Schizosaccharomyces pombe: one gene and its partners. The protein of the gene in region 2 interacts with the protein of the main gene of each other region in a biochemical or structural test. Each region holds a gene or a part of one and is shown on either strand. Other genes may lie near its edges.

Region 1 (8,062 bases), on a different chromosome or scaffold from region 2:
AGAATGGGTAATCCAATAAACAGCATACCTGTCCCAGCAGCTAAAAAGAGAAGAAACAAGAGTTGCATTAATCCTTCTCCGCCTACGAAATAACTTAACTTTTTAGCATCTTTAGCGGGCAAAGGATAATGGAGAAAATCGTCAATTTCTTTATCTTCTCTACTCAAAGAAAAGTCGGATTCACCAGCGGTAGGACCGGCAAAAGCAACAGCCTCCAGTTTATTAATATTTTCAATATCATCAACTATGCTATTGTTTTGAGGTGAGGTAGAATACATATCTGATCCTGCGCTATTTCCACCGTTAGGATATCTATTATATGTCTGAGAGCTGGGTCTAATAGAGAATCTATGGGTATAGCCACTAGCTCTTGTTCCGCCGACACCGGCTGCCAAGGCTGCACTGCTAAATGTAGCGTTGGAGGCATTGTTGTACAACAGACGAGTAGAGGAATCGGTGGGATTTGTGAAAGAAGAAGTACTGGTGTCTCTCGAAGCGTACATAGAACCAATCTCATTCACGTTACCATCCGAAGGGGTTTTGCGATTTAAATCGCCACGTACATTATACATGATAAATCCAACGAAACCAGTTAAATCCCAAGAAAGAAGAACAAAAATGAATGAAAAGAAAGCTTAGTTAAAGAAGATTTCGCGCTTAGACACGTAACCACAAAAAGTCTTCGCTGAGTTGTGACAGCAAATAGTCTTCAAAATACTTCCAGCAAGTAAAAAAAAAAAAAAAACGTTAAACAAAAAACAAAAAGAATCTAAAGGAAAAAGATGATGAGCCTCAATCTCGAGAACGAAAGCTAATTCACTTGAAAATTTTCCTTTTTCTTGTAAAGTGCTCGAAAGCACTTTTCGCGTAAACGCACAAAGTATTTAAAAAATAAATACAAAAGAATGAATACTTGTAGCGATTTTGGAACGCTGGTGTACCTCACCAAGGTGGAAATACGGAAAGGTAGTATATAGGACTAGGCAAACTCCAAATGGTTGTTTGCGGACAATAGCGAGGCAAAGTCGGCGGAAGTTTAAAAAGACTTGAATGAAAGAACAACTAGGTATTCTTTTTACAGATTAATAAAAGGAACAGGATTTTAAAATGGATAGTTAACCTTCCAAGTGTTGAAAAAAAAATTAAAAACAAAAGCCAAATTAATGACTTAAAAGTCCAAGTAACTTTTTTGAAATAAAGTTTGGTCAGTTCATAAAACAAGTATTTTCTTTTTTTTTTTTTTTTTTTGAGAAAAAAGAGGATTTGTTTACAGAAAAAAACAGGAAAGCAGAAAGACAGCGGTTTGAATAGCACAAGCTGAACTAGCTTATTTATAACGAAATTTTAAGTAAATACTGGAGACAAAGGTTAGTTATCCTCCCCCAATAAGATAACTGAGAAAAAGTCGATTAAGATAAAATTATGGAGAGAGAAATCAAAAGAAAGAAGAAAGGCCTAAAATAATAAGAAGATTGTATAATGACTATGGATTACTACTTTAAAATATATCTCTTAATATCACAGTATATAAACACTCTTGACTATTAGTGTGGAAATTGATGATGGATTGCAAAGAAAAGATGAGCGGATAGTTTCTAGAAAAAATTTTGGAATTCAAAAGACGAAGCAGTGATGTAAATAGCTTTTTTGCAGAGTTTCTTATGTTGAAATTGAATAATTACATAGAAACTTGAAGGTTCAAGGTTCATAAAAACGGAGAAAATGGGATATAATAGCAAATAAAAGAGAGAAACAGATATTATGTTTGTTTTTTAGAAAGAATCTCAACAAATTACAGATATTTTGATTGTATTGGAATACTAAACAAAAAAATATGTAAGTAAATAGTCAAGTGAGCAAAGTAGAACAATGCTGGCCACGCGTTAAAGGGGGAAAGGTGGTTAGCGAAGAATGGAATGTTTTCAACTCATTATTGCCATTCTACGAATATAAAAACACCTAAATTGTAAAAAAAAATAAAAAAAATAAAGCAAGCAAGTTTAAGTGATAAAGGAGGAAGCTAATTAGTTATGAAATTGAGAATAATTTTTGGTCTTATTCAGAATTAATAATAATTCGTCTGTTCCTAAGTGAATATAGAAAGCAGACTCCAAACGTGCGTATCCAAGCGCATTCTATTACTTTTATTTTAGTAGGTAAATGATAAAAAGTTCAATTTGAGGCCGCTTTTGATGCATCAACATTTTGCGACAATTTTACTTAGGAATTGGCTACCGTTAACGGCACTCAGAATTGTTTGAGGATGAGGCTCTGATGGTAAACAATAGATGGCGGTGCTCAAAAGATGGTATGAAGAGGTAATTTGTAGCGCGTTTGAGAAAGAGAAGGAAAAGTATTTCTGTTTTACAACATCTATGAAAGAGCATCCTGTTATGTTGGCCACATTGAAAATGTCAACCTATTTGAGGTCCAAATTAAACCCTTTTCAACATTTGTAAATATTTCATGGGTTTGAGATTTTCATTTAGTACAATATTACTATACACTTGTCAGAGATATCTTTTACACCATATGTGTATTTGCATCGAGCACTCAATATCCAGCGGATCGCATACATCATTCTTTTGGCAGAACAATAACTCAAATTTAAAGGATTTCTTTGGCATATTCATGTATATGTTGATAAATATTGGCTTTATGTCTTTGTTTTCATAATAATAAATGCGTTAATGAAGAATTTTTTAATATAATAATTATTTACTTAAAAAAAAATTAGATATTAAATATAATCTTATAAAGCACTTTTATAATGAGCTTTTGCTACGTACACCTGGCTACCTCTTGTACCTTCGTTCACTTCGTCGTTACCTGTAGGTTCTTGAAAGGATCAGTGCTACTATTTACTACGTTTACTCTATCTGCCATCTAAGAAAGAGCAATTGTGTGCTGAATAAAATATATTTTACTTGTTATACATTTATAACCATTTTGGTTAATGACTACTTTGAATACCAACGATAAAGACCTCCCGATTGTTAAAAAATATGATTCATTGAATGGAACGTATGTTACATTGTAACTGATTGACGATTGCTGATCTATATGCAGTTGGGACTTTTTAAAAACAGGTGTGTCCCAAATATTTGAAAGGCTAGATGAAGGAATGACTATCACTAAGTATATGGAGCTTTATACGTAAGTTAGTCCAATATTTTGAGATCTGAATACTAGTATATTAGTTATCAGATATTTCATGGCACCTATATTTATATACTTACATACTTTATTTTTAGAGCAATCCATAACTACTGTGCTGATGCGTCCAAAACTATAACGGTGGACAATTTCAACGATCAAAGTACGTAAAAAATAGATAAAAATTTATATTTTGACTCAGAATTTGTCAAAAAGAAGAACTACATATATTTTCTTATGATTATTTTCACTGGATTCTAACTGTATGTGCTAGCTGCAAACGTTTTAGGCGAAGCCCTTTACAATAATTTGGTTCTATATCTGGAAGAGTATTTGGCCCGTCTGCGAAAGGTGAGTTTAAATATCGGTTTTTTATTTATAATTCTACGACAAAGATTTCATTGCACCTCGAGTGTTCAGCAGTTTTCTTTAATTTCTAAACATTTTCTCTGGACATTTTAAAGAGTGCTAGCATAAGCATCTGGTCTTTTATTATGATTAAGGAATAAATTGCATTATGTGGTAATTTTTCTCGTGCTAATTGGCGCTTTAGGAATGCATTTCGCAAACGAATCATGAAGAGCAACTCGCTGCGTATGCCAAGTATTGGACGCGATTTACAACATCTGCCCGTTTTATCAACCATCTTTTTGGATATTTAAATAGATATTGGGTTAAACTGAAGAACAGATTTACTGAGACACTCGTGTACGACATTTACACACTTTGTCTTGTGTCATGGCATCATCACGTTTTTTCCCACATTCGCGATAGCCTACTTCAAAATTTGTTATACATGTTCACCAAAAAAAGATTATATGAACCTACTGATATGAAATATGTGGAAGTTTGTGTGGATTCTATCACTTCATTGAGCTTTGATAAAACCGATATGACAAAGCCTAACTTGAGCTCATACAAAACTTTTTTCGAAACAAACTTTATTGAAAATACAAAAAACTTTTATGCAAAGGAGTCTTCCGAATACTTGGCTTCCCATTCTATTACGGATTACTTAAAAAAGGCAGAAATAAGACTAGCAGAGGAGGAAGAGCTTGTGAGATTATATTTGCATGAATCCACATTGAAGCCGCTTTTAGAAGCGACTGAAGATGTACTAATTGCACAACATGAAGAAGTTTTGCACAACGACTTTGCACGCATGCTCGACCAAAACTGCAGTGAGGATATCATTCGCATGTACCGATTGATGTCTCGAACACCTAATGGGTTGCAGCCTTTACGCCAGACATTTGAGGAGTTTGTCAAGAGATCAGGCTTTGCTGCGGTTGCCAAAATTGTTCCCCAGGTCGGTGGAGAAGCCGATGTGGATCCTAAAGAGTATATGGAAATGTTACTTTCCACGTATAAAGCTTCCAAAGAACTTGTTAACACCGCATTTCATGGGGATACTGATTTTACAAAGTCATTGGATACAGCCTTTAGAGAACTTGTCAATCGAAATGTTGTTTGCCAGCGCTCTTCCTCTCGCTCCCCAGAGTTGCTTGCTAAATACGCCGACAGTATTTTGCGAAAAAGCAACAAGAATGTTGACATTGATGATGTTGAAGACTGTTTATCGTCGATTATCATTATTTTTCGTTATGTCGAAGACAAGGATGTTTTTCAAAACTTTTATACTAAGCTTTTAGCCAAGCGACTTGTGAATGGTACCTCTAATTCCCAGGATGCTGAATCTAGCATGCTATCTAAGTTAAAGGAAGTCTGCGGTTTTGAATATACTAGTAAGCTACAGCGTATGTTTCAAGACATCTCCTTGTCTCAAGAGATTACCGAAGCGTTTTGGCAACTCCCTCAGTCACGTGCTGGAAATATAGATTTCTCTGCTCTTGTACTTGGTACATCGTTTTGGCCTCTATCTCCCAACAATGTGAACTTTCATCTGCCAGAGGAATTAGTTCCTTTGTATGAAGGATTCCAAAACTATTACTATAGCTGCCATAACGGAAGGAAGTTAAGCTGGTTGTTCCATCTCTCTAAAGGAGAAATAAAGGCACGCATTAACCCTCAAACTAATGTCACTTATGTGTTTCAAGTTTCTACATATCAAATGGGTGTTTTGCTTTTGTACAACCATCGCGATTCTTATACATATGAGGAGCTGGCAAAAATAACTGGGTTAAGTACAGATTTCTTGACAGGGATTCTGAACATATTCCTAAAAGCAAAGGTGCTTCTCCTTGGCGACAATGACAAGCTTGGTGATCCTAATAGCACATATAAGATCAATGAAAATTTTAGGATGAAAAAGATACGGGTACAGTTAAATCTCCCAATTAGATCTGAGCAAAAGCAGGAATCTCTGGAGACTCATAAAACTATAGAAGAAGATCGAAAGTTACTGCTTCAATCCGCTATCGTCCGTATCATGAAGGCTCGCCGAACATTGAAACATGTAGTGTTAGTGAAAGAGACTATTGATCAAATTAAAAGCAGATTTACTCCTAAAGTGTCTGATATTAAGCAATGTATAGATATGTTAATCGAAAAAGAGTACCTGGAACGCCAAGGCCGCGATGAATACATTTACCTTGCTTGAGAGAAACATCTCCGCGAAATGCTCCAAAAAAAATGATATACTTTTCGAGTGTTATATATGTAATTAATCACGCAATACGAATTTTCTTTTTTCTTTTGTTTACATTCTTGTCTGCTAGTGATCTTTAATCCATTGAAACTAAGCTTTTAATAACGTAGGAAAGTCACCACTCCATTGAAGAAATGTGTAGCTTAGCTACATGCAAGCTATGCAACTTTTTTTTACTACTAGTTACTGGATAGCAACAACAAACTTCTATTATCCCATCATTTTACGTGGATAAGTCGTACAATGAAAAAGAAAAGAAAACAGTTATCGACCACATACATGCACCATTTCACGAAGTACAGATGCTTGAAATTGTGAAAGGATGTCAAAGATATGTTTTATATAATACATTTATTGTCAATTGTCGTCTTCGTCTTCCTCTGCAAATCGCTTGATTCTGTTAAAAAAGACATATATTGATTATTCAGCACGAAGAACGAAATGGTGCTTACAAATTAAAAAAAATTAATTGATCAGACTAATTAAGGCAATTTTAACGTTTTTATTGATTTACTACTTCCAGGTGTTGCTGGAGTGTTCATGGATGAAATGGATGATTCCGGTACATTCCGGTGCCAACACCATAGTATGACATAAATGAGTAAACATCGCGGTTCGCTCATTCTTCTTCAACACACCATCTTCCTTGACATATCGTTCTGAAAAAAAATACTAGGAAGAGAATCGTAGCATAATGGCGACTTTATTTCATCTTATAGATGTACATGGTAATGAATATCAAAATGTGCAAGACCACAGCCTTCAAATGGCCTTAGAAGAGCTGAATCAACAAATCGAAGTGATTCAACGCCAAGAAGAACAATTGGCTTTGCGAAAGAAGGCAATTGAGGATGCAAGGCAAGAAGTGCTCCAGCAAATTCAACATCGAAAATTCCGTCAATACTTGCATGAACGGGAACAAGAGGCTCGTTTGCAAGAGTATTATTTGGAGCAACTGCAAGAGCGTAGAGCTTTTGAAAATGTTGTACGGACTATAATCAGAAAGCGATTTGAGGATGAGGAGCGTGAAAGAGCTCATCGCAGGGAAAAGGCGGCTCGAAAGTTGCTACGCAGAATACTTGTCTCCGATTCACCCAATATGCAGCTTGTAGTGCCAAATAATTTCCAGCAAATGTTTATTCATCATCCAGTCGTAGACACAATATATTCTCCTGAAGAGTCTTCGGAATCCCAAGCTGAAGTCGCTGACCAACAAACTGGCCCATACTCTACATCAGAGTACGCAGGTGCTCAACAATCTCAACCATTTCGCATATTTATTCAAAACGACAATGCACCTGAACAACAAAGTGGCCCAGACGTTGCTGAGCTTAATACGCTACCAAATAGAAGCAAAACGTCTTCTCAAGCTAGTGTTTCTGATGAGGAGCTTTCTCGCACCGAGTTGGCCGAATTGAACGATTATTTATTGGCTGCTCAACGCCGCTCTAACAAACGTGGAAATGCTAGAAAACATATTGACTTAACTGCTCGTGAGAGCCCATCCACATCTTTCGCACAGATGTCGAAAGGTGCTTTGAATCCTGACCCAGAAGTCATTGAACCTGAAGACGAACCTACTACGTTTAGAAACCCACTAGAGGCATTGTTATCGACTGGTCAATATTCAGTGGTAAGTAGTGATGAGGACGTTGAATCTGTTCGTGATCCCGATGACGGGACGTTACCTATTCATTCTACCCAAACAGTTGAAGAGCCCATAGACACGAAGGCGGGAGAGAAATTAACTGACAGCTCAAAACAACCTTCACCTCCTGTTGCTGAACATTTCTCTAATGAGACCTTTTCGGCCTCTCCTAAAGGCGCTGAAACTGATGTAAAGAGTGAAGGAAGCAACAATCATGAGCAAGGCTCATTTAATGAACCTAAATCTAATGTTGACTCTAATGATTCTGCATCTCCGAAAAGACCATCTTCTCAAGCATCTTTACGACATAATGTTACTGTTGAAGAGGTCCCTGACGAGGATGCATGATAAATATTATATTTGTTTATTAAAAGATAAAATTTTCCTTCCTAACTACCAACAAATCTACTTTCAGACGAATCCATTTTTGCACATATCTAATGACCAACATTCACGTAATCACTTATGACTGGATATACGATAATTTAGATAAAAAATTTTCAATGCATTGAACATTTCCTATATCATTTATAACAAGCAACGTAATTACAGATTGAGAAAGCTCATTTTTAGGATTGTAGAAATCATATCGCTCAATTTCCTTTCTCTCTTTAAACTACAGTATCTTTTTACTTACTTAACTAAGGATA
Region 2 (8,354 bases):
GCTGAATAGCCATTTCACGGTGCTTTTCACAATTTTGAGTGCTATCCGCAATGAGGGAACTGTTATCGTCAGAAAGGATCGGTCGTGTATCTAATGGAGACCGATCTACCAAGTTTTTTGCGTAAATTTGCCATGCTCCTAAGGCATTTGCTTCCTTATTAACACCAACATTGGTGCAAAAGGTAGTTAAGTTTTTCGAGACTAAGTCTATGGGTCGAAGGGCAGAACCAGCTTTAAGTCTATAAAGTAGCCTCGATAAGCATTGTAGAAATAGAGAATGACACACATCATTTCGTAAAAATATGTTGTGTAGTAAAACATCTGAGTCATCCATGAGACCGAGGTAAAATATTTGCTTGGAAGATGGGTACGTGTGCAAAGCAGTGGGTCGTTTTGAATCCCATAAAACGAGACGGATAAAAGTAATAGGTAATGTTTCATGCCTGGAGATATATGTGTGCTGTTAAAACGGTTAGCAAATATTTCCATGATTATGTTTCGCTGTTCACGTACATATACAAATATGCTTTCTAATTCCGACTTCAGTAGTTCTAAGAAGACAAGAGGATTGGGTAAAACGGTCTTTTCGGCGGAATGATGAACTTTGGAAGCAGTCCACCGCATACTGACAAATCCATGAGCGAGAGCTGTGAATTGATATTAGAAAGCAATGAATAGTTAAGGTGTGTCAACAAAAATACATACCCAATATCTCCAGCTGTGCAATTTGGCCCAAGTAGAATCCATTAGGCCAATCGTACACAAGCATTCGATGAATAATGCTGCGTTTGAGCATGCTCTTTGGAACATTTTTATAAAATGCTTCGGGATTCCACTCTTCATCGTCCAACATATCTTCTAAATTGATGTCTTTGGCATTTGGTGGGTATGTTTGCTTCTGAATCCATTCTACACACAATTTTACTAAGAAATCCCTAGGAAATCGATTTAATAGCTTCTGGATCTTCTTGTCATGCTTGATTCGAATATTACTAGACAATTCAGTACGCATAGCGGTCCTCCTTTTTGAATATCTTATGTTTACGACAAGGAGCCACAATATATCAATCGTTACCGTGGACTAATTTTTTATCCTCTCAAACACTGATCACTAACGAAGGATTTCAGATATATTTGTTTTGTTAAATATTAATGTTACAAAAGAATGGTCTTTGAGATCATTTGGCAGCACCAGCTGTAAGCAAATTTAACTCTTCCCAAGTTCTTCTAAGGCAATGGTTTGGATGGTGGTGAAGGGAGTCCTTGCCCAGATTGCAGAAGTCTTGCTGTTTTCTCGGCAGCTGCTCTATTAGCATGATATCGAATTCGCATTTGGAAAATATCTCGATGAAGATTATAGTGTTTGGATTGGGTCTGTGTTGAACATTCTTTAGAAGATGAGGAGGAGGAGTTGATAGATTCATTCTCGGCAGACGCCGAATCTACATCTTTCTCCTTCTCTGTCTGCTGCACTTCTAAATTTGGTTCCTGTTTTGATTCTTGTGGATTACCGGTCGCATCCTTCTCTACGTTTTTTGACTCATCCTTAGCTTCTAGTTTGTTGGTGTCGATTTTGTTAGTCACTGATTTAATCACGGAAATTGGTGTAGCAAAACCTCGATCTTGCAAATGATTGTAGCAAACATAAAAACTATTTTTATTTTGTTGGTTAAAAAAACTTTTTCCTTCCCATTAAATTATGTATCAACTCAAACCATGAAGGTTTTCACAATGATTACTTACAAATCTAATTTAGTTTTTGTTATTAATACCCATTTTGTAGGCTTGTAACACTAGAAACGATAATAGTGTATTAGAAAATGGTGCTTCATCAAGGTAATGGGCAATTTTTAATTGCTGTTGTTTCTTACAATAAAGCATGGTTTTTTATCTACTTCTGAAACTTGTCTCAATGTATAGAAATTTTCAAATTTATTGGACATCGGCATTTTCTTCAACATTACTACTTTATATTTGAGGTAAAGAAGAGAGAAGGGGTGAATCGCCTGAATTACACTCACACATCAATTTATCTAATAGACGGTTCAAGCACCACAGAATACTTAATTTATTTAATTTATAACTAAAATAAAAATAAAATACTCAATCTATTTTATTGATTTTTTTTGCAATTGCCCAAACATTGTATAGACAACTAAGCAACATGTTGACTTTTTTTGCTCAGATCAAAAAAAATAAATAAATAAATAAAGGCTTTAGTGCAACGTACACCCACATATACATATTCAATTAAAAGGCATGTTAACAAAACTTCTTATTGAAAACCTTCCTCGGACAATGAATACAACTCGTAAAGTCTATTCAGCCTATTGTAAAGGGAAGGTAAAATAAAACACTGGAAGCAATTCCAAAATTTTCTATTGATCAACTTGTTTGTTCATAAAAATTGTAGCAAGTAAAAGGTGGAAACCTAAAGATGGAAAACATTGCAAAAATCAGTGATTTAGAAATGAAACGCATAAGTAATGACAATACAAAGATAAATAAATATTTAGAAATGATAAAGAAAAGGGACAAATTCTTATCAACAATGGAAAAATGAAAAAAAAAAAGGAAAAACGAGTGACCGGATAAACCAGCAATGTACAGCAACAGCATAAGTGGAATCTTATACCCAGATACCTTTATCTAAAAGGAATAGCAAGTTAAAAAATAAGCAACATTGTGCAAGAAAATAACCAGCAAGCAACATAATAATAATAAGGAACCGAGAACCAAACACATATAATAATAATAATAAAAGACGAGCCTCCATAAATAACACACAAACATCCGTTCATACCTCATCTCTCACGACTATATGAGGATGCAAATGAACATCTAAAGATTTACAATGACAAAACTTGACTCAAAAAAATAACCATCTGAACAATCCGATAAAACTTGTATGCTTGAAACACGGAAATAGCGGCAAAAAATGGATGAAAAAAGCAATGCGATGCAATTCGATGATGAAGCAAAAAATAAATCAGACATCCAAACTTCACTTCAAAGCAAGTTGCATTTTGGGAGACAGAGGAAATTAATGAATCTCAATGGATTGTTGTGTATGTTGTATAGCTGCGGTTTCCGGTCTCGGTACGATTGAGGGTGGTCTCTGAAGTATCGAGGTTGGAAGAACAGAAGTACTAGCGGTCTTTACCTTTATTAATGATGGCCTACGAACTGGTGAGGAGTTGGGCTGTGAATCGAGCTTTGGATTTGGTTCCGAATTGGGATGTGTGAGCGGCAAAGATTCCGACCTTGATTGAGGTTGCGAACTGGGCATAGAAGCTGGCAAAGAATGCGGTTGGGCCGAATCAGAAGTAACAGCGCTTAGCGTAGGTAGCTCTAACAACTCTTCCGTCTTGCATATTTTAGAAAAGATCTTTTTATCTTTTTCAGGATCGGTATGCGTTTCTGAAGGCTTGGGTACCTTGGAGCCATAAGCAGCAAGTAAAGAAGTAATGACCTCCATTAGTGCCTTGCGAAGACGCACACTATCGACAACAGAATGGTCCAAGTTCATGTCCACTTTGGGTACATAAGGCTTTTGCAATAGACGATACATGAGGATACGAGTATTCTCGCAAACATGAAGGCCGCAATCACAATCATTAATTTGTTGTGGAGTCTTCATGTGTCGGACACGGAATTCCTTTTTAAGGAGAATGCCAAGGTTTTTGATGGCAAGGTTGCAGTCATTGGTATTACCATTGGACATGGAGTCATAGTACCAGCCCAAACCTTTTTCAACGGAGACGACTAACAAACTCCAATGCGAGCCGCTCTCGATACCACACTCATTGGTATCGTTGATAGGAAGAAAGATAAACGATGCATCAAACATGGCAGGAGGTAAGGCAGACTCGATTTCCAAAGGATTAGGAGCCTGGGCCAAAAAGAAGACCATAGCAGGACGAAGCAAGTATATTTGTTGACTCTCCTCCTTGGGACGTTTGAGCAAGACTTGACGCAACATAATTTCGTAAAAGAAATCGATGTTTGTATCAAGGATCCAATACCCAGGACGAAAGTGGTCGACGTCGTTTTTGCGAAGGGAAACCTCGAAATATTCAAGCCAGATGCGCGTAAACGGGGAACCGCAAGACTTTGATCCGCTGCTGCTGCTGCCAAACAAGGAACGGAAAAAGCCCTTTTTCTTCTTTTTGGGAGAAGCGGTATCAGAGCCATTAGAATTGGAAGAGCCGGTGGAGGGAGGACGTAAATTGCTAGACTTTTTCACAGCCTCGCTGTCGATTTCCTTTGTGAAAATGGAATTGGAGCGCATTTTTTAAAAGTGGAATATAGGACAGTGGGAGAAAGAGAAAAAGACGAATACAAGTTTTTAGAAACGCGTTTTTTACCAGGCAGGTAATAAGAAAATAAGCACTTTTTTATTTCTAAAGTGAACAATGGGAAAGAACGAGAATTGCAAATGAGAAAGGAAATAAAAGGAGAGTAAAAAATTGAATGAAAAGAAGAAAGAATTGGATAAATAAATATCGAATTCTTTTTTTTTCACAGAGTTAGGAAAAGACAGTATGAACAAATAAAAGGAAAAAGAAAATTAGAAACTAAAAGAGAAAGGTAAAAAAAAAAGGCAAAGCAAAAACAAAAGAAATAGCAAATGGAAAAACTTGTTGTTAACTGGGAAGTTTTCGAATGCAATTGGGCAAGCAAGCAATTAGGAAGCTTGAATTGAATTGGATTGGATTGGATTTGGATCGAGGATAAATGAGTTTGGAGGGATAAAAGATGATGAGATGAAACCAAGGGTTGCAACGGGAAAAAAAAGGAAAAACGATTAACGGAGAGTTGGAGCGCTAAGAAGGAAGAAAAAGGAGATAAAAAAAGCGCAAGGAAGAAATCCGAGAGAATCCAGATGGAATAGAATTGAGAGATAATTTGAGGTAGAGACGAGTCTTAAGTTGGTTACGAATAAAAGTAAAAGAAGACGACGTCGAGAGAAGGAGGAGAAAAAAAGCCTTTAAAAAAGGAGAACGTGCAAAGTAAAAAGTAAAACGGGAAAAGAAAAGCAAATCAAAAGGATGCAGGGAAAGAGAAAGAAGAAAAGAAAAAGGAGGAAAAATGCCAAAAATATGAGAAGGAAAAAACCAATAGAGAAACTTCTATAATATAAAAAAAAACAATTCAACCACCTCACCAAACAATGTGGAGAAAGAAAAAAAGAAAAACAAGGATTAGAATAAAAATGGTGAGAATGAATGTAGTAGAAATTGTATAGAGAGAGAAAGACGAACGAACAGTCAGCAGAACACACTCACACTTGTACACGCACGTACGCATACACTCGCACACTCACACACACACACACCTACAGAGAGTAGAGAAGAGAGTTAAAAAAAAAGTGTGTAGTAGTGAGAAGAGAGGAAATTAAGTGGTGAGTATTGTGTAGAGGAAAGAAGTTTTCTGAGCAATGAAAAAGCAAAAAATGATGAAAGGAGTGTTCAGAAAAGGAGCCGGCAATGACCGTCCAACACGTACTTTTGTGGTTGGCAAAAAGTTGGGGTAAAGGGCAAAAAGACAGACCCAGAATGTGGAGGTGAAGATGGAGATGGGTGGAGAAGACAGGTAACAATAATATGGAAGAATAGTCGACGGCGGGGGGAGGGGGGAGGGATGCCGAGAAGGGGAAGAATGATCAAAAGATGACACCAATATAGCGTAATCTAGTGGACTGGGGAGAGAAGAGATGAAAAGAGGGGAATAGTGAAAAAGAGGGTGGTGTGTTAAAATGAGAAAGATGAGAGAGAGAGAGAGAGAGACATATCGTCTAGTGTAAACAGAGAATAAAATCCAAGTGAAACTATAATGTGTGAAAAGGTTTTTTTAGAAAATTAATTATCAAATAATACTTTCAATGACTTTTCGATACTCAAATATCGCGCATACTCTTTTTATTTCCATCATGTGTCTCTTCTCCATCCCTCTATGTTTTTCTCTCTCTATATTTTTCTTTCTCTCATCTCACTCCTTATCGTTTGCTATCCACTGCTACGCACCGCTTTCCACTTCTTTGCATTGCGGTTGGCCACATAAAGTTGACATGCAATATTTTTTTCCTTGGTCTCGAATTCTCAGGCCGACATGGGTCGGCCGAGCTCTCCTCTCAAAAGGAGGGGTAATTGAAATGCTGGGCGGGGAAGCGGGGATGCTCGGCAAATGATATGCGGTTGTTGTTTAGTGGTAAAAAGGGGGGGGGAAAGGGAATTTTTTGGGTGGGGCGAAAACTAACAAGAATCGCAAGGAAATTTGGACATTGGAATGGAATCGGAGGTGAAAAGAGTTGAATGATGCCAGTGATAGCAAAAGTAAAAAGTAATATATGTTACTATTTGTGTCAAAAAAGATAGAATAGGCTTGGAAAACAAGACAAACATTCCAACACAACTCATCTTTCACCCACCCTTTTTTCATTTCCTTTCCTTTCATTATCAACATTAAACAATCCATTACTTCTTATCCGATTGTGACGAAATGAGGTTGTTGTTTTGTTTGTGTTCTCCCTCTCATCTCTCTTTCGATGATGTAGTTAAAAAATTAGAAAAAGAATAAAAAAAACCTAAACGTTAATCGACGGTTTAAACGAGTGAGACTGGACTTCGCTTCTTTTCTTACGCATTACCAAACTTTGATAATGGTTGCTGTAATCAATGATAGTTGGGTCATCCCCTTTCCCACCAGAATAGAGTTGATTTACCGTTTTCTACGCAGCGCTTCAAATTTCGAATTAAAATTTTTGGTTTGCCACATTATGTTTGTTGCCTGTGGACGTGGATGGGTTACTAGGGAAAATAATAAAGCAAAAACACAAACATTCGTAAAATGCGGAGTCGGTAGATTCGAGGCTTTTGCCTTAAGTTACGTTATGACGTTTAGCAAATGGATAAGGAAATGGAAATGAAGATGAAGATGGAGATGAAGCAAGATGAAGGGAGAAAGGGAGAGGGAGAGGCAAGCATGACAAGTAAAATCTCTTTCTTTTTTTCTTTTTCTTTCTTTTTTCTTTTTTCTTTTTCTTATTTTAAATAATGTAGAGTTAAGCTCTATCTTGTTTTTACTGTAAATGAGTTTGTTGTATGGTAATGAGGGATCGCTATAATGTAATAAAGTTTTGGTTTTGTGTTTCACTAATTTTTAAAGCCGTTGGTTTACTGTTTCACTCTAAATGTGTTTGACTATAACCATTGTAACATAAATAAAAATAAATCACTGGCTAACAAAGTAAAATCCAAAAAAAAAATAAATAAATAAAAATTAAATAAAATAAAATTGAATAAAATCAAAATAAAATTGAATTAAAATCTAAAAAAATAAAATAAAAATCTAAATGTAAATGTAAATTCAAATAAAAATCCTTCTCAAACTTGCTTCCTCTCTCTCTTCTGATGTTTTAGCAATGCACAATAATAGACACTGCATTTACAAACTCATTTCGATCCTCCATCCTCAATCATTACTAACTATTTATTTAATCAAATTAAATTATCTATTTTTATTTTTGGGGTTTCATTTGATATTTTAATTCATTCAATATTTGCTAATGTATTTATTTTTCGTTGCGTTGTAATCCTTATTCACTATTCAGTTTGTTATTATTCAGTCATTTATTTTCTTTTTGATTTTCCTTTTAATGATTGATTCATAAATTATTATTATTATTATTTTTAAATTTTTTTTTTTTTTGCCGCTATAATCATTAATATATTATTCTACTTTTATTGTTTCTTCTTCCTTGTTTACCTCTCCATCTATTCCTTTTACTCGCGACAATGGTTTGTTTTCCTTCCATTCAATCTCCATCCCTTTTCGCTTTATTCAATGTTGTTTCTCGTTTGCACTTTGCTAGTCCGTCGCTTCTTTTTTTATTGCTGCGACGTTATTTTATCTACGACCAATATTTATTACTCTTGATAAACCACTCTTTTCCTACTCTTATACGCCATCAATGTTTTCCTTATATCATGATCACATTATCCATACTATTTACCACTGTATTTACCACCGTATGTATACCGCTGATTCCTTTAAACAATATTACTATTAAAACAATACTATTATCACTATTTACATTATTATTCCATCCTACAATTGATATCACTCTACTCTTTTTTGATATTACCCAAACTTTCATATTATCATTAGTTTTCTCTTTCCAAGACCGATACCTTCTTATTACAGTAATATTCCTCCTCATATCATCTTATTCTCCTTTCCTTCAACCCAATCTTCCTTCACTGTAGCTTTAGCTTTCCTCGCTAGCCTTCCTTAATCTCTCCCCCTAAAAATGTTGGTCCTCCACCATCCATCACTTTTCCAAGCTGCCTTTT
Region 3 (5,940 bases), 870 kb from region 2:
CTTGAATACACTATACATTTAGAGCCTCAAATTTTGTTAAAAACGAAAACTATAATTAGATTTTTCTTTATTGCTGATTAATGCCTGAAATTATGTTTTGTTGTCTGGTTTAAAACCGTGTATTATATACGCATTCTCGTTCATGGTGTTATGTCTAAATGAATAAATAGAGCAGTATCTGTGTAATAATATCCAAAATCGAATGGTTATGTCACAAACGTAAAGGATATATTAATGCTTTATCTATGAACCTCAAAAATTATTCCTTAATCACCTCATAGAAATACTCACGTTGTTATAAAATAGCTCATTCTTGTAGCTTCCTGTGTTAATTGAGTTGAACATTCCCCTATTAGGTATTTCTGAAAGGATATTTTTGATTTCAGCAAATTTGGTCCGGCAATTATATAATGAAATTCATAAAGTAAAAACCCTTAAATCTTAAATCTTAAATAAAATAAGCCGTGTCAAGTTTTTAAAACCTAGTTTTGACATAATACAGTGCAATCAACAAATTGAATCGAGAAAGTAAATCAAGCAATTTACGAATGGGGACACCAATATCCCATATTCTATTCTTGATATTTTGCCAACAAAGAAGATAAAGTTTTCACATCAGCGCCGACGATTCTGTCCAATTCTTGACCCTTACGAAACAATACCATGGTAGGCAAGGCATAAACACCGTTCTTTTGAGCAATATCAGAAAATTTATCTGCATTAACAGCAATAAAAGATGCTTTCTGATTTTGTTCGCTTAATTTTTCAAGAAACGGTTTGAGGTATTTGCAAGGACCGCACCAGTCTGCATAGAAATCAACGACGGTAACTTTGTCAGCACTAGTAGCAATTAGCAAGGAGATCTATTCGAAAAAGTTTTATCTTTTATTTTTTACTATGATATATTATTGACTATACATACCTAATTCGAGTATTGTAATCGCCAAACGATTCAACTGCGTTCACCTTTCTCAAAATACGAGAGCTAGTAAAACTTCTGCGCAGAGCAAAAGATCTCATATGCGGCTTTAAAGAGTTTGCAATAAATCCACGCATTTGAATTATAATTTTGGTTGACGGTTTTAATCAAAAATTTAAATAGGTGAAATTATAGCACTTAGTAAGCTAGAACTACCGCCAGGCGGAGAAAAGTGCTTAGTTGCGATCATAAACATTACTCTTTAATACAATATTTTTTAAATTATTACAACATTAATTCAATAAAAAAAGATTAAAAATTTGGGAAACCAATAAAAAAAATTATAATTTAGCATCATTTTTCCCTCTTTATTATATTTTATTAGAATCCTTATTGGAAAATAGAAGCTTTCAAAAAATCTGTAGCCGAACAATTTGAGAGATTTTTTTTTTTTTTTTTTTTTTTTTAATAACTTTAAAAAACACCTAATGAAGTTTATAAATCCTTACCTTTGTTGATTAAACTAAAGTTACTTTAATTTGTTCTTAAATATACAGCCCAAAGATTTTTGGATGGATTTTTTGTACTCACGATTATAAAAACTAGTACTTCAATCTTAAGATTACATAAAACTTCGAAAATCCGGTTATCAGAATTAATTTGAAATTAAGAAAGAATATCATTTTTTTTTAATTTTTATAATAGTAATTTGGCTTTATGCAGACTATTTATAATTAAATGAATCTCTCTTGCTTTTAAATAGAGCAGTTCCTTAAAGCCGATGTCACTTTCTCATAAACAAAAAAAATTTAAAACTTCTTAAATAGAAAAATGAGAATCAATACATTGAAATGGCAATTTATAAGCATATTGATTATACTTTCCTCCTTAAAAATGTAATTTATATAGATTTACATGTATATTTCCTTTATATATGTTTAAGTGGCACCCCTATCAATGTGGCCGTTTGGTCTAGTGGTATGATACCATCTTAGGGTGATGGTGGTCGTGGGTTCGATTCCCACAACAGCCCATGTTTTTGCTACATAGCATTTTGCAGTTAGTTTTATTTAAACAACATTTTCTTTTAGTCTTACTAGAGATTTTGCGTTTATGGTAATTACATTCGATGTTGTACTGAGGAAGTTTTGCTTCGCATGCTACTGCTTTATATACTTTGATATCAGATGGGAATGCGCAAGCAATTGTTGTTATATATTGACTTTTCTGTGCAAAACGTCTCTTTACGACTACTTTACTCATAAATTAACAAGAAGTAATCAATCTTATCGCTGAAATTCATGATCACCAAAACGTCTTAAGTTTAGAAAAGCTTAAGCAATATTTTTATACAAATCAATAGATTCACATAAAATGAAACAGAGCAATAATAAAGCGACTCAATTCTCATTTCGTTACTCTTAGTATTAGTAAAACAGTAAAAAGATTTCGTTTATAGCGTTAAATAAAAGTATGATTTTTTATACATAATTTTTCTTTATAAATAAAGTATGCAACAACTAGCAACTTCCTCCACGAAGAGCTAACACAAGATGCAAGACGCTGCCTCCTTCTAAATGATAACTTTCAGCATTTTTATCATCAGCCCTACGTGATGTTTGTTAGAATCATTGTATGGATGTTCCCATAGTGCTTACATTTGCTTTCCAGCGTAGATCAGACGCTGCTGTGAAGGAGGGATACCCTCTTTTTCTTCAACCCGTTCTTTGATCCTAGAAACCTTGTCATTTGGATCAATGTCTAATTCGATCTTATATTTTGGTTAGAAACATAGATGAATTATAACTGCATATAAATGTTTTCAACATTTAAAACACGAACCTCTTTCCCTGTCAATGTCTATGATTATATATTAGTATACATAAAAAAGAAATAAATTTATCTTACTTTTACTTTGATAAGCATGCTAACTTTTATAAACGCTTTTCTGAAATTGTTGTGGTTAAACGCTAGCAGTTCCTCTCTCTCCCTATAAGCATTCCCCTCTGGCTCACCTCGCGAAAAATTGAATTGGTCTTCAAAGAGGGGACAATGAGTTTTCAGAGTATTAATATAGATAAATGGCTGTAAGTTTTCAATTCTAAAATAAAAATTTTAGGTTCTGCTACATGTTTAACCTGTTCAAAAATTTTTATTATCTAAATGATACCAGGATTTTGTCAAATCAACAATTTACAAGCACTAACATAAACTAGAAAGAACGCCGTAGCTGCTCAAGGATTTAAAAAAATGACACCCGTTCAGGCTAATGCCATACCATTATTTTTGAAAAATAAAGATCTGGTAGTTGAAGCAGTAACGGGTTCAGGCAAGACTTTGGCCTATTTACTTCCTTGCTTCGATAAAGTCACTCGTAGAGATACGGACGAAACAGGTTTGGGTGCATTAATTGTTGCACCTACTCGTGAATTAGCTACACAGATATTCAATGTTACCAAAGAGCTTTTGGCGTACCAACCAGACTCTTTGGATGGAGGGAAAAAACTCGTTGCAGATATGTATATTGGGGGAAAGGGAACGCTCACGAATGATTTAGCTTCATTTCGGGAAAAAAACCCCTCAGTGGTGATTGGTACACCCGGTCGATTGAATGAAATGCTTTCTCATATATCCAGTAAGCATTTGGAAATACTAATATTAGACGAAGCTGATACCCTTATTGACATGGGATTTCAGCGTACATTACAATCCATTATATCTCAACTTCCGAAACAACGTCGAACTGGGTTGTTTAGCGCAACAATGAATGACACTGTGTCATCATTTTTAAAAATTGCTGGCCTTCGAAATAGCGTACGTGTTTCTGTGACAGTTACATCAAAAAAAATTGATACAAGAACACCGTCAAGTCTAGCTATACAATCTTTAGTGATTCCTCCCATATACAAAGTACAATGTATGATACATTTGCTTTGTACGATCGAATACGAAAAAGCAATTGTTTTTTTTTCTTCTTGTGCTTCTGTTGAATATTTTAACTCCCTTTTTCTCACTTATAAATTACCGTTTGAAATAGTAGCTTTGCATGGACAGCAAGTTCAGTCGAATCGATCACGTAATTTTGAAAAATTTAAGAAATCAAATAAAAAAACAGTTCTTTTTACAACTGACATTGCTTCCCGGGGTCTTGATATTCCAAATGTTGACTTTGTTCTTCAGCTCGACCCGCCTTTGGATCCGAAATCTTTTTCTCATAGATGCGGCAGAGCTGGTCGCGCTGGTCGAGCGGGTGTTGCAATAGTTTTGTTAAATGATGGAAGAGAAGAAGAATATGAGGAATTGTTAAGGGTTAGGAAGGTACCTATTACTCGTATAGACACTCCAATTGAAGCTTTAGATCTTTCACGACTTAAAGTATTAACCCACGAATTGAGAAAAATCGTATCCAAAGACAGAGATCTATATGATAAGGGATTAAGAGCGTTTGTTTCACATGTTCGTGCGTACACAAAACATCATGCGTCGTTTATTTTTCGTATCAAAGATTTGGATTTGGGACAGTTGGCCACGGCATACGCTTTATTACATCTTCCAAAAATGCCAGAGTTAAAAGACACCGAAATATCCGAAAATATTTTTAAAAAATTTGACATTGATTATGCAACCATACCATACCGTGATCAAGTACGCGAGCAGGCCAGACGACGCCGATTGGAAGTCGAAAAAACTGAACCCAAAAAATTAGCTCGGCCAGCAAAAATTAAGAACGAAGCTTGGTCCAAACAAAAGGAAGTAAAGGAGAAGCGTAACACCCGACGTGAAAAAAGGAAATCCAAGAAAGAATTTTTGAAGGCACAGAAAAACGAAGCTTCTAATAACCTGAAACAAGAAATAGTATCAAAAGCTGGAGCACAAGAAACGGAAAACGATGACTTAATAGATGAGGAATCGGATGCTTTATCTGAATTAGAAGAGGATTACCGACAGTTGAAAAAAAGCAAAAAAAGAAAAAATCAAGCATCCTTTGGATTTAGTATGTAGCAATGTATTTTTAGGGAATGGAAAAAAAAACGGGGTTTTGGAAATATAGGAAAGTCTTTTAGTATTTTTAAATATTTGAGAACTTGGAAGATTAATTGGAGTTGTTCAGCAAATATTAAGTTCTTATTCATCAGCATTTATTTTTGAATTACTGCATTTGTATATTTACTTTACATTTACAACGATTACTTAACAAATTTGTGAAAAATGCAATTAAGCGTTTATCTACACATAATTCTGCGATCAATTTGATATTTAAGAAGTAAAATACTTTAAGCAACTGAAGCAGTAGATACATTCAATAAATTTAGATTACATTTCCACAATTAATTCCAAATTTTTTTTACTAAAATCTGGTTAAGGATATCATATATATATTTTACTAATTACTTATAGTGCTGTCTACGGCCATACCTAGGCGAAAACACCAGTTCCCGTCTGATCACTGCAGTTAAGCGTCTGAGGGCCTCGTTAGTACTATGGTTGGAGACAACATGGGAATCCGGGGTGCTGTAGGCTATTCCTAACTTTTTGCTAGCCTTATTGCAATAAGGAGGTCAACTCAGTTATTTATTTGGACGAACCCAGCGCCTATTTCGATTACTATTGACAAACTACTTCTATTGGATCATTTATTTTGCGATTCTGAAATTTTTTATATGCTTTTGTATAAAAACACCATGTTTAAAAAATGCTACAACATTTAAGGAATCGTGCATCGATTGAAGTGCTAGGGAAAGCGATACGTAAATACAATGTCCCGGAATCAGCGAATCAGTTACTTATAGATATGGGGTTTATCCAGCCGTCTATGCCTGGAATTTTTCAATATTTACCTCTGGGGTTGCGTGTACAAAATAAAATATGTGACTTGTTGCACATATCAATGCGTTCTTTGGGTGCTTCAGCGATCAGTTTGGCACATCTTTCTAGTAAGGAGATATGGGAGAAAAGTGGAAGATGGCAAAAGACTGGAAGTGAACTTTTTCGTCTTCATGACCGAAATGACAGAGAAATGT

What was found. Proteins that work in one complex are often made in the same cells at the same time.
Region 1: the proteins of nep2 (region 2) and cul1 form a complex in vitro, tested with the Schizosaccharomyces pombe proteins (one study listed by BioGRID).
Region 3: the proteins of nep2 (region 2) and ned8 form a complex in vitro, tested with the Schizosaccharomyces pombe proteins (one study listed by BioGRID).

Annotation. Positions count from the first base shown.
Region 1 is NC_003424.3:3,609,168-3,617,229, forward strand, and holds cul1 (cullin 1), read left to right. Parts: upstream 1-2,889; 5' UTR 2,890-2,956; coding exon 2,957-3,024; intron 3,025-3,069; coding exon 3,070-3,156; intron 3,157-3,254; coding exon 3,255-3,319; intron 3,320-3,430; coding exon 3,431-3,507; exon of another isoform or gene 3,508-3,709; coding exon 3,710-5,716; downstream 5,717-8,062. Other genes in the region: ghs2 (glucosidase), read right to left, coding at 1-572; protein slt1, read left to right, coding at 6,459-7,760. UniProt on the Schizosaccharomyces pombe protein: Core component of multiple cullin-RING-based SCF (SKP1-CUL1-F-box protein) E3 ubiquitin-protein ligase complexes, which mediate the ubiquitination of target proteins.
Region 2 is NC_003423.3:1,449,144-1,457,497, forward strand, and holds nep2 (NEDD8 protease Nep2), read right to left. Parts: upstream 5,530-8,354; 5' UTR 4,292-5,529; coding exon 3,044-4,291; 3' UTR 2,188-3,043; downstream 1-2,187. Other genes in the region: kinetochore protein Mis15 , read right to left, coding at 1-460, 514-647, 706-1,012; SPOM_SPBC32H8.01C (uncharacterized protein), read right to left, coding at 1,228-1,651, 1,744-1,793, 1,872-1,961; SPOM_SPBC32H8.15 (uncharacterized protein), read left to right, coding at 5,885-6,190. UniProt on the Schizosaccharomyces pombe protein: Protease that catalyzes two essential functions in the NEDD8 pathway: processing of full-length NEDD8 to its mature form and deconjugation of NEDD8 from targeted proteins such as the pcu1, pcu2 and pcu4 cullins and other proteins. Has a role in meiosis.
Region 3 is NC_003423.3:2,317,412-2,323,351, forward strand, and holds ned8 (ubiquitin-like protein modifier for cullin Ned8), read right to left. Parts: upstream 2,885-5,940; 5' UTR 2,846-2,884; coding exon 2,828-2,845; intron 2,780-2,827; coding exon 2,762-2,779; exon of another isoform or gene 2,691-2,761; coding exon 2,578-2,690; exon of another isoform or gene 2,528-2,577; coding exon 2,440-2,527; 3' UTR 2,347-2,439; downstream 1-2,346. Other genes in the region: thioredoxin Trx2, read right to left, coding at 573-840, 923-1,056; ATP-dependent RNA helicase Spb4, read left to right, coding at 2,972-3,006, 3,136-4,921; SPOM_SPBC24C6.03 (proline--tRNA (Pro) ligase), read left to right, coding at 5,613-5,940.